Drosophila melanogaster: one gene and its partners. The protein of the gene in region 1 purifies or fractionates together with the protein of each later gene. This does not show direct contact. Each region holds a gene or a part of one and is shown on either strand. Other genes may lie near its edges.

Evidence for each region.
Region 2: the proteins of MBD-R2 (region 1) and pzg purify together in Drosophila melanogaster (affinity purification with western blotting, with the first as the bait; 2 studies listed by BioGRID). This does not show direct contact.
Region 3: the proteins of MBD-R2 (region 1) and Nurf-38 purify together in Drosophila melanogaster (affinity purification with western blotting, with the first as the bait; one study listed by BioGRID). This does not show direct contact.

The regions. Positions count from the first base shown.
Region 1 is NT_033777.3:12,349,301-12,360,630, reverse strand, and holds MBD-R2 (MBD-R2), read left to right. Parts: upstream 1-4,365; 5' UTR 4,366-4,487; coding exon 4,488-5,712; intron 5,713-5,785; coding exon 5,786-6,436; intron 6,437-6,500; coding exon 6,501-6,633; intron 6,634-6,686; coding exon 6,687-8,017; intron 8,018-8,086; coding exon 8,087-8,256; 3' UTR 8,257-8,488; downstream 8,489-11,330. Other genes in the region: CG4115 (uncharacterized protein), read right to left, coding at 141-294, 356-501; CG10041 (uncharacterized protein), read left to right, coding at 8,568-9,221, 9,535-9,744; CG10038 (uncharacterized protein), read left to right, coding at 10,128-10,257, 10,321-10,436, 10,649-10,836, 10,951-11,209, 11,267-11,330. UniProt on the Drosophila melanogaster protein: Component of the non-specific lethal (NLS) complex, a multiprotein complex that promotes expression of housekeeping genes on X chromosome and autosomes.
Region 2 is NT_037436.4:21,282,184-21,293,734, forward strand, and holds pzg (putzig), read left to right. Parts: upstream 1-3,915; 5' UTR 3,916-4,253; coding exon 4,254-4,884; intron 4,885-4,944; coding exon 4,945-7,304; 3' UTR 7,305-7,363; intron 7,364-7,422; 3' UTR 7,423-8,127; downstream 8,128-11,551. Other genes in the region: CG12974 (uncharacterized protein), read right to left, coding at 20-335, 398-471, 963-1,294, 1,999-2,287, 2,872-2,952; Cpr78Ca (cuticular protein 78Ca), read right to left, coding at 10,036-10,401, 10,467-10,484.
Region 3 is NT_033778.4:24,555,875-24,565,361, reverse strand, and holds Nurf-38 (nucleosome remodeling factor - 38kD), read left to right. Parts: upstream 1-4,274; 5' UTR 4,275-4,301; coding exon 4,302-4,509; intron 4,510-4,951; coding exon 4,952-5,070; intron 5,071-5,136; coding exon 5,137-5,532; intron 5,533-5,587; coding exon 5,588-5,739; intron 5,740-5,797; coding exon 5,798-5,907; coding exon of another isoform or gene 5,908-5,939; exon of another isoform or gene 5,940-6,210; intron 6,211-6,229; coding exon 6,230-6,261; 3' UTR 6,262-6,395; downstream 6,396-9,487. Other genes in the region: CG11414 (uncharacterized protein), read right to left, coding at 586-783, 852-1,049, 1,117-2,335, 2,393-2,956, 3,020-3,165, 3,224-3,502; ITP (Ion transport peptide), read right to left, coding at 9,216-9,357. UniProt on the Drosophila melanogaster protein: Component of NURF (nucleosome remodeling factor), a complex which catalyzes ATP-dependent nucleosome sliding and facilitates transcription of chromatin.

The DNA of each region.
Region 1 (11,330 bases):
ATTAGCTTTGCGTGTGCGCATTTGTGTGCTATTCATGACAACACCTATACTTGAGTTCGTTTCCTAAGTCTTTCGATTTCTCTTATCATTTCTTGCCTTAATTTATTTTCATCGTTATAGCCCCTGAAATTTGTACTTACATTCTCGCGCACAACATACTGCTTGATCCACTCGTTCTCCAAACTGGTCTCCAGGGAAACGGAGTCCATGCAGCGCCTGCGGCAGTAGTTCCTGGCGGTCAGCCAGTCCTCCTCCACGCCCTTCAGCTGAGGGTCGCGCCACGAGAAGAAGTAACTGCGGGGAGAGAAGCAAACCCTATAGTTTATGTTTTGGTGAGCATATCCTGCTGACTCACCCCTTGCCATCGGGAGTCTTCTCGTGAATGACACGCTGGGCACAGAGCTGCGGATTCGGCGGCTCCAGACGTCCGTTCTGGAACTGAGCGGATCCCAGGCTCAGCACGCTCAACACGCACACTCCGGCGATAATGAAAGCTTTCATTTTTGTTTGCTTTATCAGTCTATTCACTGGCACTTTCTGCGGGCTCGATTTTCTTTTTTGGACTCGCGACGCACTTCTCTCTACCGACCGATCGGCTGGCACTGATCAACTGGAATGTCAAAAGCATTGGGGAACCCCGCCTTATATACGAACCGAGAGTCGCATCGATCCATCCACTCAATTCGATGAGAGCGCCGTACCCCAAAAAGAGAGAATGAGTGGTGGGGCTTTTTTTTTGGTTTGGCGGCAGTACTACACTCGAAAATGTTTATTCCATGAAGTCCTACTGTTGAACACTTCTTTTTTCTTTATAAAAACCATATACTTTCTTTTAATTTAACTTTTTATTTTCAGGATTTTTAGTGTGAGAAACATTGTAACAATCAACGGAGCTGATTGTATGCAAGTCGAAATTTGAATACCCTGTACTACAGAGGCAATAAATTTAGAGATTGATTCATTTTGAAAAATTCCTTTTAAATGTTTTGAATAGATTGGAAAATGGTTAGGCCAGAAGTATTTTAAGCTAAAAACTTAAATGTTAAGATTAGTAGATTAGTAGAATTCTAGCGACTTGCTAGAATTTTTGATTTAAGTAGATACTCGTGAATTTGCACCTATGTATGTATATATTTTAAGAGCAATCTGTAACCCATTTATAAATTGGAGCACGGGGAGAATGGCCTAATCTTCAGTGGCTGTTTAACCAGCAACCGTGAATGATAAGTGGCCAAAGTGGTGCAAAAAAAGGGGAGGGGGGGACGATCGGTGGGCGATGGGTGGCGTTTCTTTGGCTTGCGCATCATTTTGCACCACTTCGCTTTGAATGGCCGTTGAATGGATTGGGCTAACTCCCATCTAATTAGCTTCACAAACACGACACCACTTGAGCCAAAATCGTTTTTGGCACGGAAATTTCGAACTTTTTTTGTGTGCTGCGTCTCCTGTCTCTTTGCATAAATAAATGCATTTTACGCTATTGTTTGCTTCGTCTCAGAAATGTATGTATTTGCCAGTGCTTTTGTCGCTTTGCTCATTGCATAATCTCAACTGATGTGTTGACCAACAATTTATGTCGATTGAAATCGACATAATTGAAATGTAAAGGTCACTTATTAATCAATAAGTTCTGTGGCTACATTAAATACGCACCTATATAACAACTAATCGTACTTATAATTTTAAATGAGCTGCCAAACGTTACATAATGCCGGCCATAAATAGCCAGAAGATATACCCAAACACACTTGCCATTGCATAAGCATAAGAAATGATGCCCATCTACATTATTTTCTCCACAGCTTGGGACCCAGATCAAGGTCAGCCCCGATGAGTACGAAAATTTCACCAGTTGAAAGTGAAGAGTAAGCCGAGCAAACCCGAAAACCCAAAAACCCAAAACCCAAGCTCAATTCACGCATTTCAACATGATCGCCTCGATAAGTTTTGTCTCCTCCGCGCGTTATTTTCTTTATTTTTACATCTTCAACTCACGTGCAGTTGAGCATGTCGACCGAACACAGCCGAAACCAAAAAATGGCGGTTTTTGAAAAAGCAAAGGTATCTGTTAAATCGCACTTTATGGCAATCGGTAAAACGGCAAAAGTTACACGAAGGCAGGTGCCGCTCATTACCTGACACATGTATCTCGTTGGACACTTTGGGCGGATTATGCTGGATGCTGCTGGGCCAGCCGCGCCCATTTCTCAGAAATTTCTATAATATTTAGCAAAATATTTGTATCGATTATTATTAAACTATGCCACAGAGGTGGGTGTTAAGTAAAATTATTTCAATATATTGTACACAGAGTTTGGAAAAATCCCAATTGCTAGCATTGAAAAAATTCCACATATTAAATTTCAAATTTCAAATGACCGGCGTGCAATGCTGAACGACAAAGAGCAATAAAAATTATAATAAATTAGGCAACCCATTTACATGGTCAACACGTGTATTTGCTTAAGCCATGTCTTTCGGGCAAGCATAATTTATTTAATTTGTGTGAGCTACTCGGCGTTACATGAATTCCCGTGGGCACTCTCAAGCCCAAAATGATCATCATCATTTAGCGATAATATTTTTGGGTAATAATCATGTGATAAGGAACCGGGAAACTGGGCCCAACTGTCAAGAGACGCGCAGCCAGCCTATTACCGCATTGCATGCCCTCATATTTACGCAATGAGTTCCCAGACGGTATCGGAATGGGGATCGGGATCGGGAGAGGGAGAGGGAGAAGGGGCTGACTTATGGGCTATGCGGCTGGGACCGATGAGATGAGGCTGGGGAATGGGCCTGGCCAATTTGTCGATGAGTTGGGTAAATATTAAAGGAGAAAGTGCCGCCGTCAGTTGGACCAAAAGTTTTGTACTCTCCTTGTACATATTTCTGTTTTCGGTTTTCTGTTTTTGAAAAATATTTTTGCACAGGTTACATATTGTTGAATTATTTGCACAAAAAGAGAGTGAGGTCAGGTGCAGTCGTCCCAATTTCATCGAGTGTCGATAATTTATGCAAATATGTTCACTAATAGTTATGCAAACGGAAATCTAACCGTGTTTACCACCCATTTTGGATTTCCCTTCGAGTGGCCCCCTCAATGTCAGTTTTTGACTGACCAAAATTTATAAAATGCTAAATTATTCGGCTTAGCAACGTCAATTACTCACGTTATTTAATATTTATGTCAGCTGCATATGACAATAAAAGCATTTTATAATTAAAGTTTGCTTTATGCTCCAGCCGTGATTTGATTACAAATATTGGCAATCCACTGAATCAAAGTCAACACCATTTGATATTGGCTCCGTGTCAATTTCGCAAACACGCCCAAGATCTAAAAGTCAACCGATTGACCCAGAGACCTCGTTTTCAGGGAAGTACCCAAAAACAGGAAGCTCTTCGACCGTGAGTTTCCGGCTATCATTCTAAAACAATATTTGTAATGGAACTAAACTGTTTAGTTACGGAATTCGAGGGGTCAAGCCACATATATACATAAGATATTGACACAATATAGAGAATCTTAATATTTTATTCTTTCAAAATGTGCCATCACATTTTCCTCACATATTTCGATTTGAAGGCCAAAGCTCCATACTTCAATCGATTTTTTTGGCGGCTCAATCAACCGATCAAGCAGCAGGCGCCACATTTAAATTTGTCAGTTGTTTCTTGCATGCTAATGACCGGGTGAAATATTGTAATTAAAAACTACAATGAGTGTTTATTTTAGCAGTATGCGTAAATAGCTGCTCCTCAAACTTTGAAACCCAGTGTTGAAATACATATTTCCAGAAGCATTTGTCGAATGGATAATATCGTATTTGGTTAGCTTTTTGCAAGGTGTCTGCCTTTTGGCGAACGTGGTGACATGTAAGCCCAAAAGCGTACATTAATTGCATTTCAAATAGGCTTTCGGTGGCCTTGGGAACGGTGGCGTATCGGCACGTGATCCTTTTTCCGCCGAGCTGAGGAAATTTATGGCACCCTCACTTCGCTAAAATGCATTAACGCACCGATTAATATTAATTGTGCAGCGGGTATTTACCAACTTTAATAGTTAATTTATGGCAGGAAGATTGATGTAAAGTTTCATGAAAATTGAGATAGTCAGAAATAAAAAGTAATTAAATTCAACCTACTCAGGCTCTAAAGTAATATTTATTTATTTATCGAAAGTAGTATTTATTTATCACCACAATAAAGATCTATGCAATAAAGTCATTTAAAATTTATTTTTTATAAAATTCAAAAAATATCGTTAAATAGTTTTGAACTTTTCCAACAAGGTGGCAATATCTAACTATCGATAGTTTGCCGACGCACACGTTTTTACTGTACCCCAATTTGGTATCACTAATTTATTGCGCTGTATTTTTCTGGATAATTTTCGCGTCGTTTCCTGGATTATTTCATCACTTAGCAAAGTGTGCGTTTGCACATAGGCAAACAAAATAGAGAATTGGGTGAACTTCATCGCCATGGGCCGCCGGTGCTGCGTGGCCAACTGCCCGTCGACGTCGCGTCTGTTGGAGCACAACGGCGTGACTTACCACTCCTTCCCCCTAGATCCCATCATCCGCGCCATATGGATCAAAAACTCTCGCATCAGCCTGGAGCGCCAGATCACCAAGAGCGTGCTGGTCTGCTCACGCCACTTCCGCCGTTTGGACTTCAACACTATCCGCAATGGGAAGTATCTGCTCAAGCCGCGCGTCTTTCCCACCGTTTTTCCATGGGGCAAGATGGATACCGCGGAGATCGAAGCAGACCAACGGGCACTTCAGCACGCCAGCGTGGAGGGAACGACTGAAACCCCGGGAAATGCTCAGTCATCGACCAATGACGATGTGATCAAAGCTACGGTAGACCAAATAGTTGCGCAAATCCTGTCGGAATCTGCAGAACGCAAGGCCACGGAGGAAGGTAAAACAGGCAAGGCGGCGGATGACGTTAAAAATACTCCCGAAAGTGGAGAAGATGCAAACAAGGCAGCTGCAAAGGAACCCTCAGGGACTCCGGTAGCCGCAAGCAGCGAAGCCACAGTCCCAGCTCCTGGATCCGCTTCCAGTTCGAACTCACCTTTGCCCGGCACACCGCCCAAGTACAGCAACCCACATAACCTGACTATTGGCGCCCGTTTGGAGGCGCTCAGTGTGGAAGGCAACTGGTTGCCCGCCCGCATCGTGGAAGTTAACGAGACGGAGCAGACGCTACTCGTGCGCTTTGAGCGCAATCACAAGCTAAAGGTGTCACCTTCGACCAGCGGCAGCTTTCAGGAGTGGATGGCCATCAAGTCGGAGCGGCTGAGGCAGCGCCTCAGCAACCGTGTGCTGCCCGTCTTTGAGCTGGACGAGAAGTGCATGGCCCGCTGGTCGGGGCCGCGTAAGTTTCCAGGAACCATACGCAAGTTGCTGGGCAACGATACCTACGAGGTTCTCTTCGACGATGGTTACGTTAAGAACGTGCGCGCCGTGCACATGAACAAGATGCCCAAGCAGTTGCCCCCTGTTCAGGTAGCGGAAGAGGGTGCCTCAAAGTCACCCACTCCTGTTGGAACTCCAGTAAGCTCTGCACCTGTGGCTCCGAAGCGGGCGAGCACAGGCAGCCTTGGCGGATCCAGTGGCTCTTCGGGCAGCAAGAAGAGCAAATGTGCACCTCAGCGCAGGGATTGGCCGTTGCTGGACATGGCCAGTTTGGATATAGGTAAGAGCACCGAAAGGAGAATGTTAGTTTTGCCTTAAACTTAACTTTCATGTTTGACTTTCGTAACCAACAGCATCCCTTGGACTCCCAGAAATACCGCATGACGGCGAGTGGACTTGTCATTGGGTAAATGACCAGCCTATTGGAACCGAGGGTTTTCTGATTGTGGGCGAGCACCAGAAACCCACTGTTATCGTGCAGGATTGGCGTCTGCCTCCTGGCTGGATCAAGCACATGTACCAGCGGTCCAACGTCCTCGGCAAGTGGGATGTTATTCTGGTCTCGCCCAGCGGCAAACGTTTCCGCTCCAAGTCCGACTTGAAGTTGTTCCTTGAGTCCCAGAATCTGGTCTACAACCCGGATGTGTACGACTTTAGCATCCATCGACGTCGTGCCAAAGACATCAATGCTTACGTCTACACACACGGCTACAATCCGCAGCCACCGCCCAAGCCCAGGCCCATGGATGTGTCGATGAACTCCACGCTGGACCAGAGCATCACGTCGCAACATTCTTTACCTTCTACTCCGATGCCGGTGAAAGAAAGCCAGTACATGGAAGCACCGGTGGCCTCGCTTATGCCACCAGCTGAGTTAATGTCGCCGCAGACGCAGCCTGCCGATGAGACAAAGCCCAAGATAGAAGCAGAAATACTGGAAGCCAGTGAGGGAGGTACCTCTCAGCTTATGTTAGCAGATCCTCATGTGGTGGAAAATGGCTTTGGTAAGTATATGCAATTTGAAATAACATGTGCTATATTAAAATAAATTATAATTCCATATTTCAGCTTTCATTGGGGGCCTAAAAGTCAAAATCCAAGACAATCTTTATGTATGCCCGCGCGAAGATTGCGCCAAGACCTATCGCAAAGAAGACTTTCTGCTAATCCACATTCGCCATTATCACAAGGAGTTTGCAGAGTGAGTAATATTCATTCAAAACTCATGACACCTAACTTACTTTAAATCTACAGACACGTCAGCCACTGTCCAAAGATGCAGGAACTAGCGGTCAAACGTACGCACCCCTCATCCATCGATCAAGTTGAGGCGGTGCCAAAAAACCAAATACCCAACCAGCAATTCTTTGCCAAAATGCACCAGCAGGATTTGCAGCAGTCACGATCGTTTAAACGACAGAGTGTATCAGCTACGGCCACATCTTCAACGCCATCTGACATAACGCCTACTAAGGCCCTGTTATCTCCTAAGATGGAGCCACCAAGTGTGTCGCCAACTGTTGAAAGTGGCATTAAACAAGAAGATGTTTCTCTGGATGCTGGTCCAACTCAGTCGTTTAATCCTTCATTGAGTCGTTCCTGCAAGCGTGCACGCTTGTCGCCGTCGAAGCGGCCATCTGGCTCGCGAAAGAGTAACCGCCAGCGCTCTCAGCGTCGTCCCATTTTGTCAGATAACCCGGCTGGTCATGGCTTAACCGAACAAGATGTTGAGGAGACACGGCAATCTTTTAACACCCCCACTCCGGATACGCGCATCGACTCGAAAAAACGCCGCAGTGGTGCGGCAACAACTCCCATCAGTTCCATTGACTCACCAGCCATGGGAGATTCGGTGTCCACGCCATCATCTAATGACCAGACCGACATAAATGCAGCCCTTGCCCCACCACCAGCTGAAACGTTAAGCAAAGCACCACAGTACATCAAGGAAAATGGTGAACTAATTCGAATTGTGCGCATGCGGCAGGAGGAGATCATTAACTGCATCTGCGAGTATGGCGAAGAGGACGGCCTAATGATCCAATGTGAATTGTGCCTATGCTGGCAACACGGTGCATGCAACGGAATTGTCAAAGAGGCAGATGTACCGGACAAGTATGTGTGCTACATTTGTCGCAATCCGCAGAGGGGTCGGGATTCTATGAGATTTAAGCACGACCAGGACTGGCTATTCGAAGGCAAGTTGCCGGTGGCCGCGTATCACACTGCAAATCCACAGGCCACCAAACAATTCGAGCTCTTGAAGCGCTCGCACACGCTGACCGGCAATTTGCTAGATGCCAAGCGATCGATGCACTCGCTGCTGGTGAAGATTAACATCGCACGCAACCGCTGTCATCCGAAGCTTTATCTATGGGCCAAAAAGTGGGACGAAGACAATCTGGACTCTACTGCGTTGACACCGGTTAAGCGTGCAAAATTGGAGGCCCCCGACCTTCCGAACGTTCCGCAACCGGAAGCTGCCATCGATCCGGAGGAGTGCCAGTACCGTTTGATCGAGCATATCAAGGTGCAGCAATCCTTGGTTCTCGATCGGCTGAATGACATAGAAGCCGAAATGGACGGTTAGTATCCAAAACTAATTTTTGTCACGAGTATATATGAATCTATATATATTTTTGAATTTCTTTTAGAACTTGAAAAGGAGGACACGTTGGATGACTTAAAGGACGCTGACATCTCGACCACAAAAGAGGCGCTGGCCACGTTTATTAAGGAGCTCGAAACCATGAAGCGCCTTGCCAAGCTCAACCAGGTGGCCAATATGAAGCAGACCCTCAGAGATTCTGCCACTAGCAAGTAGCATTTCTATTGATCACGGTTATAGGGGTCTAATGAGGATTTTCTTTTAAGCTATTTTCGAACTGTTTCCATAATTTTGCAGACGTGTAGATAGTAACCGTACAAGCTTTTTCTCTTCAAAAAAAATATTGCTATACTTTATAAAGTTTGATAATATAATGGAATTTAAATGTATATTCTTTTAAAGTTAACCATGTGAGAATACAGAAAATTATAATTTCATGCCCAATTATAAAGTTAAGATGCTTGATGATAAAACCTGACTACAAGACGTCTTTGTGACGTCTTTGTATTCGTGACTTGGTCGCAGTTATGTGTTGTTGGCAATCTCTTTGCTCCATAGCTTGGTTCGCCGCGATGTCGGCAGCCCAGGAGACGCTTTCCGACACCCCGCAGAATAGCACACCTTTGTTAGCCACAACTGTGTCGACCACGAAGGTGATAAGTTTCCGCCCTCGTTATCCATACATCGTCTCCATAGGAGAGAACCTTAAAGGATACTACAAGCACCTTTGCGTGGGCGTTATACTTTCGAATGAGTTCGTGCTCAGTGCAGCCCACTGCATCCAAACGAATCCAACCAAACAACTGTACGTGGCTGGTGGCGCCGATTCGCTGAACAGCCGGAAGCAGACCCGCTTCTTCGTCGTGGAAAGAAGATGGCATCCCCAGTTTAGGGTGCTCGGCGGCAACGACATTGCCGTGTTGAGGATTTACCCCAAATTCCCGCTCGACGATGTGCGATTTCGTAGCATTAACTTTGCTGGAAAGCCTCAAAGGGATAGTGGCACCCAGGCCTCGCTGGTTGGCTGGGGTCGGGTTGGCGTCGGCAAGATAAGAAAACTCCAGGAGATGCCCTTCTTGACCATGGAGAACGATGAGTGCCAGCAAAGCCATCGCTTCGTTTTCCTCAAACCGCTTGACATCTGTGCGATGCATTTGAAAGGACCGCGAGGTCCCTGCGACGTAAGTGGATCAGAAATACGCCAGAAATTCATAATCGAAAATCAATTAAAATTTTTTCAACAAAGAATATGTTTTCCAATTAAATTAAACAAACTACATATAGGTACATTTCAAATATTTAATCATTATAAAATTTGAAACTAGAAAACATATTCCAGTCAAATTCCTTGGTTTGCAATACGTAGCAATTTTTAAGAGGTATTTAGGATATTATTTATAGAAGTCCTATAATTTCTTACCAGGAACAAACACCAATGCTATAAAATAATTTTTATATCAGTTAAATAAGAGTTATTTTAATTTTACATTTCAGGGAGATTCTGGAGCTCCCTTGATGAATGTGGCAAAAGAGAAGCTGTACGGATTACTTTCCTACGGTCGAAAAGCCTGCACCCCATTAAAACCCTATGCCTTCACTCGCATCAACGCATACTCCAGCTGGATTCAGGAATCCATGGACTCTATGGCTGCGAGATTAAAAGTCTTACAAATTAATCGCACTGTATGGAAAGATGGGTTATAGCAGGTTTTACAGAAATATGTATGATCTTTTCTATCTAGGGTTACAATTAAAAGACAATGATTAATCATCAGGAAAGGATCAATATTATATTAAAAAATGTTATTTAATAAAATTTAATTTATAACGAATATTATGGGGATTTTTTTTGGCAGTGATGCGTTTTGGTGTGAATTGGTGCTCTGACCTCGCTATCGATACCTATCGCTTAGACGATGTGAGCTTGCGGCCAGTAGGTGGCGCGCTTATTCCATCCCTAGTTCGGCGTTCATATGAAAAATCAAAACAAAAACTCGAACAACAATTCTATATAAATAAAAGCTTTTTCCAATCGCTCTATTACTACGTAAGTGCCGAACCGTGTGGAAGCCACGCGACCGATTGTAATGTGGTCTAGGCTTATTCAAATATTTCGACCCCTCAGAAGTTTTCGAATGTCGCACTCACCGCCGCCGGCTAGCAATTGCGAGGAGGCTCTCATCCAGCTGAAAAACTTTGGATATGCATTCGATGGAGGTAAGTAGAATGTTGCACAAAGTCGCTACTTGACAATATGATCTTCCCGTTTGCCTCCTGCAGAAGGAGTGCTGCGCAAAGTCGATCCCGCCACTGGGGAGCCTGGCAAGGAACTCTTTTCCTACAACGTCAGCGACGACGCCGCCGAAAACGAGAAGCACTACCAGAAGCTAGCCAACGTATGTACCGCATTCAACCCACATTGCACATGAATATCTTCTGCCGAAAACTATAATCTATTAGGTTTCCTTGATGTCAAGGAATCCACACCTAGGACGAATCCTCTTCAAGAGAAACTAGACCACACAATTCCTTTCCACAAATATTATTACATATGCCCACGTGGGTAGGAATAAGCTTATACAAATACTGTATCCTTTATCGCCCATAGCAAATCCCAGAAATTGTCTACGCTTTGCTGGAGAAAAACGGTCTTAGTCGCACCTACATCCCTTTTGACCAGCCTCCAGAGCGGTCTTCGTTTGTATTCTCGCAACCGGCAAAGCTGTCGCAGTCCAAAAAGTTGCTAGTCCTCATCCATGGCAGTGGATACGTTAAAGCCGGACAGTGGGCCAGAAGGTGTGTATGTTCACTATTTAAACCAAATAATAGAAATGATAAAAATACCTGAATACCAATACAAATGATATTAACATACAAATACAAATACTTACATATTTAATTTTGTTATAGTTTAATTATTAACAATTCCTTGGACCACGGTACCCAGCTGCCTTATGTGCGACAGGCCCAAAAACTGGGATACGATCTCCTCATCACCAATGCCAACGATTGCACACGATTCTACAATGGTAAGGAGAATCCCATCAAGGGCGTCAATACGTCCGTAGAGCACGTTAAATATGTGTGGAAGAATATTGTATTGCCCGCGAAACCCGAGAGTGTGGCCATTGTGGCCCACAGTTATGGTGGCAGTCTTACTCTTGATTTGGTGGGTATAAAATTCCAAATATATTTCAACATCATATTTTAATCTTCTCTTTATTAGGTGGAGCGGTTTCCGGATTTCTTTAAAGAATCCGTTTTTGCCATTGCCTTCACTGATGCCGCCA
Region 2 (11,551 bases), on another chromosome or scaffold:
CGCCAAGGGGCTTAGTAATCTAGTACTGGTTGTGGCGCAGAACGCCATTGGGACTGGGCTGCGGGGAGTAGTCCGGCACGGGGAATCCCGAGGTGGCCACCACAATGGTCTCCATGGGATTCTGCGAAGATTGCTTCAGCGGGCGACTTTGCTGCGGATTCGGAGGCGGGTACTGCTGGTACGCGTTGAGGTCCCTGAAGCGACGATCCATTAGGTTCGAGTCCATCGACAAGTGCGCCGCCCGCACGATGGCTCCCTCGTTCACCTGGATGGTCTCGGCCATGGAACGGGTTTCCGGAACGTAGGCGGCATTGTTATACGCCTGGACCTCCACCCTGTCCATACAAATCGAGAATTATTTTCAAGACATTAAGGATGTGTGAATCGTTATACTTACTCCTCGTAGGCGCGAATCGGGGTCCTGGTGGTCAGAATATCATTGGAATCCTTGCGAGGATTGAACAAAGTATCCTGTGGAAAAGGGCATGTTTGTTTGATTTTAGGCAAGATAGCTATAGCTCATTCAAGATTTTGTAATTAATTTATATTAAGGAAGATATTTGAGGCTTTTTAAGGATACTTTAAGTGTACACTGAGTTAAGAACACCTCAGTTCAAGCGAACTGTCCTTGCAAAGAACCCCCGCACCTAAGGCCCAGTAAGTCGTCATTTTCCAGCGTGCTCGGTCAAACCAAACCGAAAAGCCAAGAGCCCGCTATCAGGCAAACCTGGTGCCAAATTGGAAACCAGCTTATCAGCAATTACCACCACCACATTGAGTTAATGGCGACAAAGTGCTAAGTTTAGCCATGTCGTAGTCGCTGCCCGGCGATTTTTAACTTCTACGTTGTTGGAATATTTTCAAAGGCAGTGTCGAAAATTTATGGAATCAGCGGAGACAACGAAGAAGTCACTCAGCATTGGTGGGCGATGAGCTCACTCGCCGACCTGACCACAACTTACCACATTGTCCTTATCGGTGGAAATTCGAATGGCTCTCGCGACAAGGTATGCGAGCAGTCCAAAGTTAATGAACCACAGAACGAATCCCTTGAAGGAGATGACCATCATGGAAATGGCAGCCACTCCTCCGGCGATCAAGGTGGCAGCCAAGGGATAGATGACACCAGCATTGATACTATTGGCATTATACCTCAGAGCCTCCTTGTGGAAACGTCCGTAGTCCACGCCGAAGATCACTCCAGAAGCTACATCCATGCAGCATATGGTGGCCACGAAGAAGGCCCAGATGTAGATGGCAGTCACGGTCTGCTTCGGGTTGTCCTTGCGCACCCCTGAAATGGTAAGAGTATAAGCGGGTTATTAACTTAAGTGTAATCCATTACGGGCAAGTGCTGTCAGGAACATAACAGGGCGCTAAACATGTGATACTTAAATGGGCTTACTTATTGGCGATACATCAATCAATCTTATAATGGAGTCATTAGGTAATATAATTTTAAAGACCATTATGTACGAGTAAAGTATGCTCTAAAATGTGTCAAAAAGCTAATCACTTTGGTTTCAAAATTAAAGTAAATAGCACTTAACAAATTTTAATTAATCAATTACTAGATAAGATATGTTTCGTACATATTTGAGCAGTATTAAGATTGAGTCATAACTATAACTATAACCATGCTACTATATTTTAACTTTAGAAAACGAATTGTATGAATGAATATATCTGTCTATAACAAAGAATAAGACTTTCCAGTTTACTTGTGGGCTAATGTGCTTAATTCTTTGAAAGCCAATAGCAAATGCTGAAAATTGTATATGGTGGGAAAGAACCATTAATGAAATCGTTATATAACCCATCATATAAGTTCCCAGCGAACTTATCATCAAGTTTTGTTTATTTGGGCTTTACGGCTGTGTGCCATGCGTAAGTTTTGGATGCCTCACAAATAAATTTCTAGATTTCTCCTCGTGAATCATAAAGGCTTCGATATCTTAACTATGTATGCAGTTCATTTCCGGTTCTTAAAGTACTTACACAGTAGCAGCACAACGGAGACGATTAGCCAGCAAACCGAAACGCCCAGGTAGACCGAATTCCAGATCAAAATCTGGGTGGGATCAAAAACAGTAGTCACTGTATTCAGGATGGTTTGGTCGTAGTTCTGGTAATCACTGGGATTCATCTTGCAACTGCCCTTGAAGTACACGTCAAAGAATACAGTCTTGACCATGGAGCCATAGGTGAGGTCATTTGTAATATACAGGACACAATTGTAGGCACATATCGCTGTTATGGTCAAGCCCATCCAGATGATGGACTGGGCCTGAAATAAAAATAACAATAAAATAAGAGGAGTTCTCAAAACGTCAGAGCCACACTGAATAAAAATGAGCACTATTTTTAATCGGTTTTTGTTTGTCATGTTTTTTTAAATTTATATTTATATTGAAAATTAATTAAATAAAATTGTTTTATCGTTTGTTCTTCGTGTTCCGTCATTAAAGAGGTTGGATGGCTTCTAGATCGTGATATTATTCATACCCAGCGAAATATCCAATTTTGTATGTACTTATTTACGTTTACGTTTTTTAGTGTCCCAATCTAGATCTTTTGTTCATTCACTTGTTTACACACGTCAATCGGCATTATCTGATATCTGTGGTGCGGCTCAGTTCTTCAGTTTGGGAGCCGTCCCGGATGAGTCAATGAGTATTATACTCGTATCATGATTAGCTCTCCGACTGTTGGAATACTGGACTATTCGATAGGGAGAGACCATCCAATCTTAGTAAGTGCGCTCAATGTCAGGTCGAACATCTCCCCATATCACTTATCGATGAGCTGGGAATGGGGTCGCGGTCGCTTGGCGGCCTAGACTGTAACATTGAATTGCCAGCGCCGACTTACCACTCCGAGAATTCCGGCCCAAGCTGCTACCGTTTTAAGGGAGCCAAAGTGCTTGATTTTTGCCGCTGGTGCTGAATACATTTTGCAGTGACTGTTCGATATATAGGGGTGGTTTCCAGATACTGGGAGATATTCTCACGCCCCGTATGCGGGACTCAAATCGATCGGGTTGAGTGCGCTTTTGCAGTACGCGACGTCTGTTGGCCAACTGAACGATCGAGCCGGACAATTGAGTTCGCCACCCGTTTACTATATTTCCCGATAAACCTTGCGATAATGGCTCTTATAACAAAAAGCCAACTGGCCAGGGGCTTTTATTTTTTATGTTTCGCTTCGATCGAGGCGGTATCCGCTCGCTTTTCGTTTCGTTCGTTAACTGAATTCTGTGGTTTGGCTGGAACGTTTATCAGGTCGTATGTTATATTATCGCTACTGATAAGAGAGCCCCCTTCCCTTCAACTTTCCTTTGGCTAAAAGATATACCTAAATCGAATAGGTAAAACTGGAATTTCGGAATCTTATCGGTCCTATGTATTAGCACATTAGTGATGTTGGCCTTTATCACTGCGTAAATGCAAGTATTTAATGCTTACCTCACAGGTTGGGTATGCCAAATATTTACGAGGAGAATATTTGTGAATTTAAAGTGGGCGGGCAAAGGCGCCCTCTACTGTCTACAAAACGCACTGTTAATTTTGACATTGCATGATAGGAATGACGCTGAGCCTTTTTTCAAGACAAAATGTGCTAATTATTTACCTTTTACAAATACAAGCACAACAAGTAAGTATTTATTTGTATTTAACCACTCAGCAATCGCAATAAGAAAAATAAATGCTTTATTATTTCAAGTAAATAATTACGTTATCGTAATGAACGGCAACGCTGTGAGATTTTCTCTGTCTGACCATGGTTGACCTCCCAGGCAGCCGCCATTTCCGTGGCGTGCGAGTGAAACGACTAGCCCATGTTTTCCCGCCGTGCCAGGGCAGCGAGCATGCTAAAGAGCGAGACGACCATACGCGTCCGTCGAGAACTGCTACAGCACATACGCATTTTTAACCCTAAAAAATACAGCACCGAGTCTTTAGTACAGTCAAAGTGACGCCGCGACAACTCAGAACGAAACCGAAAATTAAAAACGGAAGAGATTGTTGTTCCTGGTGTCCAAAAAAGATAGATTGTTTCGTTCGAGTGGCTCATCCGTACCCGATCGATACATAAATCCCAGCAAGCTGCCAAACCGGAGTGCAGAAGTGTAGTTTGTCGTAATCGCCGATTAATATTGAAAGGTAGCGGCTTGCAGTTGCGCGTGTAGCGCCCGCACAAACCGAATAACACCATCACTACGGCGTGCTCACCTGAATCCAAAACGCCACGAAATGAACAACCAACTGAATCCGGCCACCTACCGCAAGTTTAACAATCTGCTCAGTAGCGGAGCGGTCACTGTGACCGGTCCCAGCCAGCCGCGAATCCTCAAGTCGACGCGTATGGTGGTACCCGGTGGTGGCGGAGGAGGAGGTGCCTCTGCCGGAGGAGCCTCAGCCGTTGGCGGCGTAGCACAGCAGCAGGCGGTCAACGATGCAGAGTCGGGTGGCGTGGGTATCGGCGGATTAGCCACGCGATGCTATATCTGCGATGACCGCTGCGAGCCACAGACTTCGCTAACCGATATGTGCACCACGCACACTTCCACCAAATTCCCCAACAAACTGGCCCAGCTCGTGGGCGAGGGTTTCCTCGTGATTGTTTGCGGCGAGGATTACGTGTGCTCACGCTGTACCAACCTGGTGAACTACTACGACCGCCTGGAAAACGATGTGGAGCGCGTCAAGACGAACCTCATCAGTTTGCTTAACAAGAAGTATGCCATTAACGAGGATATGGGCCAGGAAGGCAGTCCGCCGCTCAAGATGCAGAAAATGGTCGGCGGATCCGCCAATCGCTCGTTGGAGGAGAGTCCTAGTGCGGATTTGCTGCGTCCACGTAAACTCCTGCAGGGAAACCCAGGTAAGTACATAAATACAGAAATTATAAAGCTTTCCTAATGCATATTCTGCAATCGTACAGTTGGCCAGTCCAAGATCGCCCCAGGAACCACCCAGAGCAGCGTCCAAGGCACCCAGACAGTCCAACGCAAGGCCACCAAGATTTATAAATGCACCTCGTGTGACTATAAAACCTCGGATATGCGGCTGTTCAACACGCATTATGAAACCTGCAAGCAGCAGACCTTCCAGTGCAAGACCTGCCGCAAAATCTTCCCGCACTTTGGGGCCATGAAGCAGCACATGGTGCGCGACCACAATACCGCCATGGATAACACGTGTGCCATGTGTCACATTAACTTCGTGAACGAGAACAGCCTGCGCAAGCACATGGAGACGAATCACGCTACCAATGTACTGGTGACCAGCACCACCACCATACCGGCATCAGCTGCTCCCGTGGCTGCTGCTGCAGCTGCCGCTGCAGCTGCTGCCAACGAGAATCTGGTTGGAACATCGCTATACACATGCAATCATTGCCAGTTCAAGTCAACGGACAAGGTCGTTTTTGATGAGCATATGCGCAAGCATGCCGCTGGTAAACCTAAGCCTTTTAAGTGCCGCCTGTGCTCTCAGCGCTTTGAGACGCGCGAAGCTGCTACTGTGCATGCCAAACAGCATCAGACCAACTTCTTCAAGTGCGGCACTTGTTCGATGACCTTCCCGAAACGGGAGATGCTTGTTAAGCACTTCGAAGTGCATCAGAGTCCTTCCGCATCGACGGTATCGCCCAAGCAGTCAGTTAGCCAGAACCTGAACACCCAGAAGCTCCTTCAAGAGACCATTGATGAGGCACTGAGCGATAGCCTGCCTGCTTCGACAGCTGCTGTGGTGGCAACCACCGAGTCGGAGAACAACATACGCTTCTTCTCGTGCAGCATTTGCTCACTGACTTTCATCCAGGAGACATACTACAACCACCACATGGAGACCCACAGACGTGACAAGAAGGCAACTTCGGCCGGAGCCACTGCCCTAAATTCGGCAGCTACGGCTTTACTAAGCGATGAGCCCGGAGAGGCAACTGGTAAGGCCGGTGACGAGAGCGGCGAGCAAAACGCAGAGGCCGACATTGAGAGCCTGTTTGAAAAGCTCCACTCCGACAAGAACGAGAGCGGTGAGGCGCCCAAACCGGGAAGCAAAGGCGGCGAGATGGTTATTACCTCGCAGGAGGGCAGTGGAGGCATAACCTTCAACATTACTATCCCGCAACCGGACGGAGACCAATCGCAAAAGGATTCGCCCAATACCACAGCACCTGTCTCTGTTAGCATTGACATGCCAAATTTGGATCAAGCCGAAGACGAATCACAGTCCCAGGGCAGCATCGATGCCAAGGGCGAAAGCGGCGAGGCCTCCTCTGCCGATAGCAAATCCAATGCCGCACCGGTTTCCATGCCCAGTTTAGATGATGACAACGAGGCTGCAGCTGCTGAAGCTGAGGCCTCAGAGGAAACCAAGACGGCTAGCAAAGCAGGTCAAGAGAAAGCCAAGGCCAAGGCTGGAGAAAGCGCCAAGTCAAAGGAAGCCGCCGCTGCTGAGGAACCACAACCATCTGACGAAGGAGACGTAGTTGCTAAGCGTGAGGCTACAGATACGCCCACAACTGAGTCGGAGGCCAATGCCACGACCGCTGAAGCCGGTGAATCTGGCGAAGGCGAGGTTACTGCCAGTACTGGAGCCGAGGGCGAGGCGGGTGAAGCTGCAGGTGGCGAGCATGTTGCCATGGAACTTGACGAAGCCATGCAGGCACAGGTGGAAGGTGGCCAGATCAAGTTCATTGTTAACGAGAACGGCCATCTCCTCCAGCTGGACAACCACATCCTGACGGACGCCGAAGGCAACCAAATAATTGTGCAAGATCCCGAGCAAATACAGCAGCTGCTCCAAAGTGTAGGAGTTCTGCAGTCCGGCGAGGGACTTGAGGGCGAAACCCTCCAGATGATGACCGATGGCAGTGGCCAGATGGTACTTGTCCATGGTGACAACAATGAACAGCAGCTTATCGATGCCTCCCTGTTGAACTCCGAGGGGCAGTTAATTATCCAGCAGGGACAGGATGGTGAGGAAGGCGCTCATGTCATTAGCGAGGATGGTACCCGCATCCCAGTGTCCGTGTCGTACACGGAAGATGGCCAGCCCATCGTCCAGGTTCAGCAACAGGTCCTGGAGGCCGCACAGCAGGCAGCCAGCGCTTCCGGAGGTGCAGATGACAAGGAGGCGGCTGCCGACTCGGCCGGCGAGGAAGTGCAAGTGTCGGAGGCATCTAGTGGCACGGCATCCACCACCGTTGTTGCCACGAGCACGGCCAGCAGCACTGGTGGCCCCTCCGGCGGCAGCTTTTTTGCCCTGGAGGAGTTTACGGAGACAAAGACCGACTAGGATTGGCCCTAGGGGCGTGGTCATGACCACTATACCATACTGGCATGCGAAGAGGACTGGTAAGTTAAAGGAATCACCAGCGTGAACTGGGATATTCATACTTTTTCGTTTGTTTTAGGTTTTAGCTGTGGGCACGCTCAAGATCTCTGGAGGACTTTTGCACACCCCAATTTGAAACCCACTCCCTGACACCCACAACCGAACCAACTTTACAGACAACTGAACACGAAGACAGAAAAATACACACACGAACCTTTTCAATATATATTTACATTTAGTATATGTATTAAACACTCCAGTAAACTAAAAGAAAGATTTCTTATTACCCAAGCAAAGGAAAAAAACTAATTCAATAAATCAAATTGTTCATTCGGTCCGTTTCGCACTAGGCTGCCAGGGATCTCAAGCCAGATCTCTTTGGTTGCCTCTTAAATATCGTATCTAGGTTTAGTAATAGTATAGACAAAACTGCAAGATGAAAGCGACAAAAAATGTATAAACATAGAGTTTATGTGAGAAACTTGGAATATAATAAATGTATGTATTTACAAGATAACTCAACAATTACACTAAATAAATCGATTTAAACACAAACATTTGATGAAAATTAAGTTCCGAAATCGGCACAAATCAATTCAGAAATAGTGATGCTTCCTAACACCTAGTGATCCCCGTAAAATGTAAGGATAGGTGAACAATCCCGCTTTCCACTTCCATAAACTCCAGATTCACACCCAAAACAAACAAACACAGGCCGCAAACACGCCCAAATATATGCATGCACGTATATATGTCAAGCAACTTGAAATATATAATTGTAAAGAAACGAACATCGGTTTCAAGTTCCTTTATACTCTGTGAGCGATCTTTGGAATTTGGTATGCATGTAAATCAATTCAGATAAGTTAATTAAACGCGCTGATGGCAACTGTGTTCCAATGAATACAGATGACACAGAAGGCAGTCCCAAAGTTTACATATTGTCAGTATGGATCCAACCATTCATTTCTCAAGTCAGTAAGTTCGTTGACCTTTAAAATGGATTAGTCGGTTATGAATGATATTTTCGAAGTATGCATACCAGCGAAACTTTCGACTCGTTCTTAATTGCCCAACACCTGTTGGCGGCGGATGAGGTCGACTATATTTAAATGTTCAGGTAGTTGATTAATAAGATTTAATACTAAGTTGGATACTAAACTGCCAGCGGTGGCATTAAAGCATTTGGACTGTCATGAAGGCCTTATGAATGCCCCGTTCCGATCCATAAATCAGTGAATGTTGTGATTCTGAAAACAGCAACCGGATTGGCACGTGGATGCGGTTTTGGAGGAACTAATGATTATTTCATAGTTATGAATACAAAAATAGGACGCGTACAAATTGGTGATCTGCGCCTGCGGGTTGTTTGTCATTTATATAATGGATTTGTTGAAAGGAAGATAAGATAAACGAACTCGCCATGAATAATTTATATTCGAATACGCTTCAATGGAAGGGAGTTGTTCTAGCAACTAACTCATTCACTTACACGGTGAACTTTTGGCGATGGGCGCGGTAATCTTTTCGAGGCCGGAACCAAATTGGGGATTTAGTTTGAGCCGACAGCATCAATCAGCAACTTGTTGCGGTTCGGTGACATTAAACGGTGTCAACTCCACTTGGCTTGCTAGTCTGTCGGTTACATTAAGTCGCTCTTCGAGAGTCGGTCAATATTATGCAACGGCCTTAATTAGGCGCCCACATGCAAATGAGCGACGGCAGGCGCAATCTTCTCGCCGATTGCCGCATCGAAAAGCGAAAGTCGTTCTTAAAGACAAGGTCGCACTTTGTATCGGATCAGATTGGATCGGATGGGTATGACAGATTTATAGCGAAGCTCACAGATCTAGGGTGCGCTGATGAAAGCTGACATTTCGGTGCGCTTGATTCGCTGGTCATTAGCATAGAAAACATGACTTCGACTAGTTTTGCGGTCCATAAATCTTAAGCTTTAAAAAGAGCATTTAAAAGAAGCATTCTTAGCATATTTCATAATTATAGTTGCCGGTTTCAACACGCTCTCGATAAACTAAGTAAGACTAAAATTGCGTTTCACTTATAAGACATAAGCATTAAAACTGGATTTGATTCGTTTTGCACTCCATGAGTCTTAGCTTTCTTTGAGACAATAGTTCTTAAAAAAGTTTTCTATTATTACCAAGAAATAAGATATTATTACAATTACATTAAATTAAAGCGTTACATTTTATTCATTCTTTTCTTCTGCATCTATTAAATAATTTTTTTAATTTTTATATTTTTATTTTTACCGATTTCTTTACCGATTTCCTTATTTGCATGTCAGTAAGCATAACCCCTATGGGTTTTTTAAATTGAATTCCACAAACATGCTTATCATATTTTAGCCAGTTTCACCATTGCAGTACTCGTATAATGTACGGATTTTGATTGCAATTTATTGAACATAGTTCCTGCATTTAGGCAAACTTTCCGGACTCCAGGAACGCAGATCAATTAAGTCTAGCACTTTATTTATAATTCTAGAATATATATTGACTTGCTGTAGATTTTGGCATGCTTTTGTTGTTCTCTTCTGGTCCGATTTGCATGGAAAAACAATTAACATAAATACGAAATAAAAATATTCCGAAGTGTAACGACGATATTCAGCCAGCCCATCGACAGCTATTTAGAAGTCAATATATAATTTTTTTAATGTCCTGTTTTTTTACCAACGTCTGGACCGAATCTCATCCACCGGTGGATGCGTGCGGATGTACTCCAACTGGCGGATAACGTGCAGCGGGATGGCGGGAATGTGATCTCCGGTGGGCTGATATCCATTGGCATCGGCCACGTACGAGAAGGTAACGGGTATACCCTCGGGAGAAACGAACTGAACCACTCCGACGGCTCCGTTCTCATTACCAGCTCCCTTGGTGGTAATGCCGTTGGTGGTCTGGAACTCGAAGCTGTAGTGACCGAAGGGATCGGGTGGCGTATTCCGGTAGTAGATGGTCCTGTCCAAAGATGGCGCAGTAAAGCGCGTACAATGGATTAGTTGAACTAGGACTAGGACCAGGAATACCACAATCTGAGCGCATGGTTGGGAGTTCAGTTGGTTAATATCAAATACCAGTCACAAAACGTCGCACAAACCTTGCCGAACGACATCATCGCCTAATTACATTAAAATTAATTCAAATGTTTGCCTTTACGCTGTGGATCTTGAACCTGATATATCGATACGGCTGCCTCTGAACCAGAACCAAAGTCAGTACCCCAGTATTAACCGTTATGGAGCGGCAGTTATTAGCGACGCGATCTGCTGCGCTCGAAAGTTAAATTAAAACTGGTCAAAAATCATTTGACGAGGCCGAAAAGGAAGCTTTCGATTTCAATAGAGGAAGCTTCAGCTAACCAGTGGGCTCTCTGGATTCGTTCTCGGAACATCAGACGTGGAAGCCAAACAGCATAGCCCGGGAATTGGTGCAACCGAAAAGCAGAGGCTTTATTTCCCGACGAAAAAATACAAGTTCGTAGCCCGGGTTTTGATTTATATTGAATTTGTGCTAATGCCTGGCCATTATCGCCTCACAATGAAGCTGTTTTGGATTTTTCGGGGTCCATTTGTAGGTGTGCCTGCATAGCAGTCCGATCTGAAATCGAAAGTTATGCACAGTGGTTTGACTATGATTCACACGTCCAACTTGCAGACATCCTAGCCGCTGACATATTGTGCCATTTAGTTATTCATATATTAGATTTAAATTCTATTTTCAGCTCTAAAAGGTCATGGTTAAAATGAGCGCTCAGCCGAAAAGCCAATACCAAATATATTAAATTGATTTAATGAGGCGTGCTAAATATACGTATAATACGTCAACTTCGATTATTCCATTAACTTTTACGCTATTGAAAGCGAAACTCGAAATGCTAAAGGTTTAACTGCACAACCATTAATCATGGTTGATTCTGGATTTTTTTTTTGTGGATTAAATGAGCTATTTTGACTGGCAAATAACTTCTGTTTATAACTGGTTGCTTGTGTGTCTCAAAGTAAAGTTGCCAAATGAGAGAAATTTAGAATAGCAATTCTTAGACTGAAAAATGTACTGTACTTAATATCCTTTGGTTCACATTCTCCTAATATTGGAAGGTTTCAAAACGCATATCGCTTCTTTGAGAAATTCCTTTCCCTAGTACTAATATGAAATTAAATTGTCTGCATTAAATATACCTCG
Region 3 (9,487 bases), on another chromosome or scaffold:
TCTACCTTCATAATAATTCTATGTAGAAAAATGGAGAATGAGCTTTTCTCGAATTTCATATTCGACAAAAGCTCTACTTTTCCTCAAATCAGAAAACTCAACTACCAAGCATCGCTCCCCAGCTAGCAAACCACGTAGATAAGAGCAGAAGAGCTCCATATGTCCGATAATAAATCTGCTCCATACGACCCAACAACTACAACCAATTTCCATTTGGTGATAACCAATTTGCGACCACCATATGTGGACATTAGATAGGGCGACAGGTTAGGCAAACATACCAGGTGATTACGACTAATAATTGTGATTGATTTGAACTTTATTAGGTTGCGGGCATTTGCTAGACACAAGCTCACTCGTAAATATTAGAAACGCATCCAAGATAAGCTTCTGTCCGGACTAAGTCACATTGAACAGATGGCTTCGTGGGTCGCGCTACATGGACTGATGGGTTCGGCTAGTTCTTTTTCGGGTTTCCACTCACAACATGATCTGGGGACATGGTTCCTAGATGGTTGACACGGTATATATGTACATAGAAAATATACAGGGATAAAGCTTTTGTTGTCCTACAATCCGACCACCTCAATTGCGGTGCGTGTTAGAGGCTGAGCTTCCGAGTACGGGGAAGTTTTTGGTCAGCTCATGCGCCTGCTGGTGGCTCTTTAAGTCGGCGGTGATGAGGATCTGTTTGCACACCTTGCAAACTTCAAGCGCGGGCACGGATTTGCGCTCGGCGGGCGGCAAGCTGTTCAGGTGTTGTTTGTGCACTAGGTAAAGTTCCTGGAAATGGCGCAAATAATGGAGTTACTCTTTATTTACTATTATGTGGTTTTGCAAACGGGTCTTACCTGTTGCTTACTTATGTCCGGCAGCATGGCCAGCAGCTCCGGGAACAGGTTGTAAAATGAGCTCAACATGGCGCACTGGCAGTGCTCGTAATAGGCTTGGCCAGAACAGGATCCGTCGCGGAACTTAGACGAAAGCAAGCGGAATTCGTTCAACGCCTCTGGGGTCTTGAGCAGGGACATAACCTCATCAACCAATTTCTGGACGCAAGACAAATGCTTTTTAAGTTAATGTTTTCTAACTAATTGGCAAACGACGTTAGCTTACCTGATTCCTGACCTCGGTATCTGGTGGATCGGTGTACGTATAGGGGCTGGGTACAATGTCATACGACTCGCCCAGCGAATTGGTGAACGTGAGATTGTTGGGCAGCTTGGCCACCGAGTTAACAGTCACGTTGGACACGAATCCTGGTGGTGGCTTTAGCGGTCCGCCAGGTTTTAAGCCGGGAGGAGCACGTATTGGCGTAGACGGAGCCCCATTGGTTTTTTGTTCGTTGTTATTATTTCTCTCCTTCGGTTTGGCCGTCTTAGGCTGATTCTCCTGGTTGCTCTTTTTATCCTTCTGCTTTTTATCCTTTTTATTTGCCTGCTGCTCTTGAACATTGTTGTTGCTTGCCTTGGGAGCAGGTTTCGATGTTGGACTCGGCAGAACCGGGGCCGGCGCCACTTTGGCCTTGCGATTCTCCAGCTCACGCTGCTTCTTCTCATTAGCTGGTTTCGACCAGTTCAATGAAGGAGATCCACTGCTGGGCTTTGGAGCAGTCGTCCTGCTTGAGCTGGCGCTGGCACTCGGTCCGAGGCTAGGGAATTCCGCCGCAGTGAGTTTGGGAGCACTCTTCTTCAAAGCCTCCTGGCGCGCTTTGGCCTCGTCCTCCTCCTTTTGTACCATTTGAAGCTTTTGAAAGGTGCTCGGGCTAGCCACTGACACGTAGTCATCGGCTAGAGACCGATGCTTAGCGGAGATGTTCGCCATCGGCACTGGCGATCCGCTAGGCAGCATATCCTCCTCCAGGTTGCGCAGATTCTTCTTGTTCCCCTTACCCGGTAATGCAGGAAAGTCTACCTGCGGCGTGGCTGCCTTTTTGGGCACGGCTGCTGATCGATTTGACACATGCAGGAGCATTCCGTTACCGGGAGGCCCACTTCGACTGCCAGAACCTGCCGCGCTTGTGGGTTTCTTAAAGACAGCTGCCACGGGGTGCTGCGATTGAGCAGCCCGGGCGGCAATGCTGCTGCTAGTGGGCCCAGTAACACCACCTCCATTTCCTCCTCCCAGAGCCGGGAAGTTTTCTTTGGTCCGAGCAAGACCAGAAGTTCCACTAAGATTGCGCATCGAGGGCGGTGGCGGTCTCACCAAGGATACGCTGGGAGCTGTGGAAGCGCCTCTCAATGTGGGAAACTGTTCCTCGTTGCCAGCATCAATGCTCACATGGCGCTGGGTGATCGAAGGCAAATCGTTCTGGTAGTCGTTGTGCTCGTCATTCCTGTAAGGTTTACCATTCTAAGAGTGCCTTCTTCAAATTGGATGGCCGCTCACTCACCTGGTTCTCACGCTGGTTATGCCCTGCTCCGTCTGCCCACTACGGCCACGAGGCCCCAAAGTGATCTCCACCTGCAAGGTGCGCGTCTGCTTGGCCTGCTGCTTGTTGAGCGACTTGCCGTGCACGTTGGCCACGTGCGCCTTGTACTCGATTTCGTTGCGGAATGCGCCGACAAACTGCTCGGTGGCGCACTTACCCTCCTCGCAGAGAAAGTGCTCCGCCCGGAAATGTTCCGCCAGATCCGCATAGTCATTGTAGAACTCATTGCAACCATCGGCGTCGCAAAAGTGGCAGAAGTAGTGCTCGCGGCGCAAATGACGGAACAACTCATCACGGTCCACATAGCGTTTATTGCAGTATTCGCACAACGGATGACCGCGATGCGACCGATTGTCCGGATCGCCCTTGGTGTTGTGTAGCTGCAGCTCCGCCTGAGTGTAGCACCTCCGTTCGAAGGTGAAGATATTGAGGGTCTCGACGCATAGGTCACAGTACAGAAGTTTATGCTCGCTGCGAACATGGTTGCGAAGGCCCTCGAACGTGCGGTATGGAGGTGCATCGCATCTGCAATTTAGCGTAGAAGGGTGAGCCTCAATGGTGCAACTCAAGTGCGGGCAGAATACTCACTTCGGGCAGGGATGGTCGAGCAATTTGAAGAATTGCTGTCTTATCTCTGCGGTGCAGAAGCCGATGCGGTACTTCTTGCTGTATAAATCAGAGCGGTTATTTGCCTCCAGTTCGCGATAGGGCAGCTTGTCCAGTGTGAACAAAACCTGCAAGTGTTTTAGAATTAGATAGAGATTCGGTTCTCTAGACAAGCGCAGGACTTACCTTGGACAGGACGTGGCGGCAGATGGGGCACTCGTTCTGCTGGCAGAGAACCCTCATCCGAGTGGAGCACTCGTAGCACACGGGATGATCACAGTCGCCGATGGAGAAAATTTCCACGTTTTTGAAGCACACCACGCAGGCGTTGTCGTCGTTGCCCGTATAGCTCTCCAAGGCCTCCGGCTTGACAGCAGCGTTATCAGTGGTGGTGTTGGCCACTCCGTCTTTGGGACGGCGGTGGAACGACGGCCTGGCCGAAGATCTCGGTTTTCCGTTCTGCATTTCACTAGAGATTTTGCAGTGAATGGAGGGGGGGAATTTACTTGTTGCCACGGGCACTTGAAAATGTACGTGTAACGACTGCTTTCGGATAAAAGCTGGGGTTTCTTGGATCCCCCGGTTTGTTTACTCTTTTGGAATATCTCGTCAGCAAAATAAAGGGGAATTTTTGCAACGCCAACTCGAAAGCAAGGCAACACGCACACACGACAGACGAAAAGAAAACTCAGAATTTAGAAAACTCGATTGCCAATGTTATCGATGACACTGCTCGGATCCCCGATAGCACCGATAGTTCCCAGTTGGAAGCTTTGTTAATGTTAAGTTAACATGACCAGAATTCGGACAATTTCGCAACGATCAGTAACCAGTACAAGTAAAACCTATTGACTTCGAATTTATAAAAAATTCAATCACTTATATGAAACTTTTAAAATATTTCTAAGTGCTTCTTCTGCAGGTATGAACATATTCAAAGCATATTTTGTTTAAGTTTTTACGATTTGACAAAAACTAAATAATCTTTAAGGTTTTGATAGTTGTCTTATTTATACTGTAAATAGATTTGTATAATAATTATAATTACAATATTGTATTTTATATTTAATAATAATAATTATAATGTTATAGTTTTCATATAATAATATTTATAATAATAGTTCTAATTGTATGAAAAAATGAAGTTCATTCTCCATTGGAATGGATGAAATGGAATCGAGCTATACATTTTCTGAGCAGCACTGTTAACTGTAAAATCGGGTCCTATCGCCCTATCGATAGACTCAACTCAGGGCTGAAGAAAATGTTGGCGAAAATTACAAGGAGTTCATTTTACGCTTCACGTGCGGTTGGTCGCTTGTCCGGCTCGATTCCAACGTCACCAGCGGCCCTTGCCAGCAATTGCAGATATATTCAGATAGAACGGAAGCGCACGAAATCACACGAGATGGCTCTGTACGAAACCGTTGAGAAGGGCGCTAAGAATTCGCCGAGCTACAGCCTGTATTTCAGTGAGTAGAGTAGCGCATTGGGGGCCAAATGTGAATGTGACCCGGCTTAACCCTTTGCTTGCGCATTTGCAAGTTACCCAAACTCGGTGCAGTTAATGCACCTAGAATTAGTTGATCGGTACCGGAATGGTTATGCAACAGGTCAAACCGGACTCTGCTTATTTAACTCGACGCATTATCAGCACTATCAGCCGATCCGATTTGTCTTGCGTCGGAAATGGCGGAAACACCAAGAGTTTCGGCCCCTTTGGGCTTATCTCTTTCCTTTATTAGCCCATATTCCGAATAGCAGATATCGAAACTGGTGGCTGAATTTCGGTTTACTGGCACGCAAATTAGTGACCTTTGTCTAGCCGACAGGTCCCCGGTCACTATTAATCAAATCGCGTGTCCAGGTGTCGCCCATATATCAGGCATAATAATTTCTGGCCATTCTCCACAGAAAACAAGTGCGGCAATGTCATCTCGCCGATGCACGACATTCCACTGTACGCCAACGAGGAGAAAACTATCTACAACATGGTGGTGGAGGTGCCACGTTGGACCAACGCGAAAATGGAGGTCGGTCTGCCTGTCCCTAAGATTCATACTTCTGAATAATACAAAAATTGCATGTCTGACCCTTAGATTAGCTTGAAGACCCCTATGAATCCCATCAAGCAGGACATCAAGAAGGGTAAGCTGCGGTTCGTGGCCAACTGCTTCCCGCACAAGGGCTACATCTGGAACTACGGAGCCCTGCCCCAGACCTGGGAAAACCCCGACCACATCGAGCCCTCCACCGGCTGCAAGGGTGACAACGATCCCATCGATGTCATCGAGATTGGCTACCGAGTGGCTAAGCGCGGCGACGTGCTGAAGGTCAAGGTGCTGGGCACCATTGCCTTGATTGACGAGGGCGAAACCGACTGGAAGATAATCGCCATCGATGTGAACGATCCGTTGGCCTCGAAAGTCAATGATATCGCCGATGTGGACCAGTACTTCCCGGGTCTGCTTCGTGCCACCGTTGAGTGGTTCAAGGTGGGTGGAATTCGATTTTCGGACGATTCCCTCTCTTACCCTTTGCATTTCGCAGATCTACAAGATCCCCGATGGCAAGCCTGAGAATCAGTTTGCTTTCAACGGCGATGCCAAGAATGCGGACTTTGCCAACACCATCATTGCCGAGACCCACAAGTTCTGGCAGAACTTGGTGCACCAGAGCCCCGCATCCGGGTCCATCTCCACGTGGGTTAAATGCCATTTTATACATTTACAATTAATCCTAAGTACGTCCGTTTCGCAGCACCAACATCACCAACCGCAACTCGGAGCACGTCATTCCCAAGGAGGAGGCCGAGAAGATACTGGCCGAGGCCCCCGATGGCGGCCAGGTCGAGGAGGTGTCTGATACAGGTAAGGTTCACTATATTAGATCGAACTTATAGCTGCTTCACCCGATCCCAACCAAAAACACACTACTCCAACACACGCTTTAACCACCAGTAACTTGCAAACAAATTGGTTACACAAACACAACCTGCACGCTTACTAATAGCTACTTTAATTGTCCAGTTAGCAAGCTAAATTGAGATTACTCCATGCTGTAAATACTGCTGAAACCCAATTTATGTAATTGGCTTGCTTGCGTTCGTTAATCGTTGTACATATACTTTATACTGAATGTTATCCTGAAATAAACCCTTTTTATACCAATTTACGTCCTTTGTAATTGCAGTCGACACTTGGCATTTCATTCATCTCAAGTGAGATGTTCTCCTGGGCTGATTCCATCACAAGATCCATGATCTATCTGTAGTCCAATCGAATCGAAAATGCTTGCACTTGTGAATTATTAATACTGAAATATTATCGTACGTTGAATAAAGTTTTGCACCGCAATCAAATTCGCTGTCGATTCCTCTTGAAATATACAATCTTTATTTATATTTTACGACTAGATCCAAACAAGTTTAAATTAATTAAAAGTTATGTAATTGTAAGGCATTGCAATACTACATAGAATCGAATCGAATTATGCCGTGTGGTGTTGCTCAGATGTGATTTCCGTTCTATTGCAGGAGAGCATGTGTGGGAAGGTGTGGAACGTAAAATTTATTGCCGTAACAAATTAACTTAAGCTTACGAAATAAAAGAAATGTACAAATCAGTTAGGCGTTATAAATATGTATAGAAATCTTTAAAAGAAGACAAAAATAGTTATATACATCAGACATTTTGATTCTTGTTCGTTTGTTCGTTCGTTTTTTTGTTTGCTTGTTTTTTTTTTGTTTGTTTCTTCTCATATTTGATTCTTGGCATAACTTTTTGCTTTCCTTCTGCGCGAAGAACTAAAAGAAATAAGCATAATTTACGTAATTCACTACAACTAAAAGCTCCACGAGACTGTTTCATGACAGATGATAGAAATAACATATAGACCAATTTAGACTTTCCGATATAAGTGCGGATAAGTAGCGTGTAATAGTTTAGTAATTGTCTTCATAATTTTTTTTTCAACATTTTTGCTCTGCTTTCTCTTGTAGCTAGATGTTAGCTTAGTTGTTTCTTCAAGTGGTACACATTCCTCGGGTCGATCGTTTCCTGGTTGCCATAGTTTCGTGCCGTGTTCTGCCACAGTTATCAATAATAATAGTTTTAGTTAATAGTTCATAGAATTAAGTAGCTGCTCGTGCCAGTGACGGTGCCAGAAAATCCCAGAGAATCGCACTTTACTTGCGACCCAGGGTATCGCGCCATTCGTTATACTTGTCCATCTCCTCGTGCAGCTGAAGAGCCTCTATGCAGGCGTTGAAGAAGGGCGATCCGAAGCATTCTTGCCTGTGTTCAAAAACAAAAGGAGGAGGAGGAATTAGGAAACCTGATTTTTTTTAATTTGGTGTATAGCTTGCTCAGAAGAAAAAAGAGCCAAAGTTCAAAAGCCATATTCAGGTATGGTTGAATATATCACAAAAATTATTGTTCTCAAAATCTTGTTCTGTTTGTTTGCTCAAAAAATACGAGCTCAACAGTTCGAGGATTATTGAGGAATTTAACAAAAAGTAAAGCATAGTTGGTCAAATTTTTAGCTTGAGTGCTAGTTAAAAGCCAAGAATGCACAAGGTCAAAAATCAAATAATTAATTAAAAACAAAAGAAAATTATAACGTACCAAAACAAAAACGGTAAGCAGGCGTTTTTAGTCGCGCCAGAAACGCGCGCAAATCGCCAGCTGCAGTCTGTCTGTCTCTGTCGCCTTCTGTATGGCGGTCTCTTTCTCTGGCGGTGTCCTGCGTCGCGCATTCGCATTCTAATTCTCATTTATCACAATTTTGATGCTCTCAAATAGCCAGCGAATGATTGATTATCCTTTATTAATTTACAGGGTTTTATTAATTATGTATTATTTATTGCCACATTTGTAATGCAGTCGTTCCGTTCTTCGCGTGTTTTTACCAGGTTTTTGTTTGTGTCTTGCACAAATTGCGATCTTGCGTTTCTCTCTAATATTTAGCATGTGTGTAGGGTACTCGTATTCGGATATATGTAAGGCTTTAGCTTTAGATAGGTATGCATATACTATATACTATATAGGTAAATACATATCTCCGTTTTGCGCCAACAGATTTACACTAATTCAGGGTTTCATCTTTACAAAATAGCACAAAATTGTAAGTGTAATACATTTGCAAAATACTTTCGGTCTCGATTGCGGTGTATATATGTGTGTGTGTGAGTGTGTGTGTATGTGTGTATGTGTGTATGTGTGTGTTCGTATGGGTTTATCTTTATCATTGTAGTTTTGCCCTTGCGGAAAATCGTGTAAAATGTAAACTCTAAATGCTGATTTTACAGTAGAATACAGATACAAAAATAAAAGTTATCATTTTACATTACATAGATTAAAAACAATGGATTTCGTTTTGTTTATTTTATATACAAACCGCATAACGCAATAATAATAAAACAAGCTAAGAATACTTAAAAATAAATACTTCGGCTTCTATGTATATGTGGGGAGTGCGAGATCTGCGATCCTCCTCCTGCACATCATCATCATCATCATCTGATCATCATCATCGCCCATCTCCCACTCCCCAATTATGTTACTTACAACAAACGCATAACGTTCTCAATAAATTAATAAAAATAATTCGTTTTTAAAAAAACACATATAGTAAAAACTGTAAGGCATACAGTAATAAATAAGTACGAATTAAATTTGGGCGTTTTAATATTTTAGATTTCTGTGTTCTGGCTCTGCATGTGTGGTCGTAGTGGGACTGTTTCTCGATCTGGATCTGGATCTATATCTGGATGCGGATGCTCGTTCCAACCCACGATATTCGCACCGATTCTCAGCTGTGTGTGGTGTGTGTTGTTTGTTGTGTGCTGTATGGTGTATGGTGTGTTGGGGCTGTGGGTGTGTGGGGCGGGGACTTAGAGTTATGTTTGCGGCCCCATGTTGAAGGATATGGGCGAGCCGTTCACTACTCTCAGAAAGTGCTGTAGGTTGGATATTTCCTCTTCGGGTATTAACAGCACTTTCAGGCATTCGCCAAACCATTTTGAATCAAAGCAGTCTTTCCTAAAATTGAAAACGAAAATCAAAATGAAACACAACGGTAAAGGTAACTGAAGGCAGTAAGAAATCAGGAAAATGAAGTCGTTGCGGAAACGAAAGCGGAAACGGAAGTGGAAACGAAAGTGGTCGAAGTTAGGAGTCTAGTGGTAGATGGGCTTGTGAAACGGATAGGGTGATCCGTTGATCACTTTCAGATAGTGCTGCAGCTGCGATATCTCTTCATCGTCGATCAGCAGCACCTTTAGGCAATCCCCGAAGGTCTCGTGGACGAAACAATTGGCCCTGCATCGAATAGACAAGAAACACAGATGTAGGACTCGCACAGAGGGAAGTCAAACGAAAAGGTGATAAACTTATTACTACAATATTTAAGTGACTATAGGGTGAAACAAAAAGAGAGAGAGAGAGATAT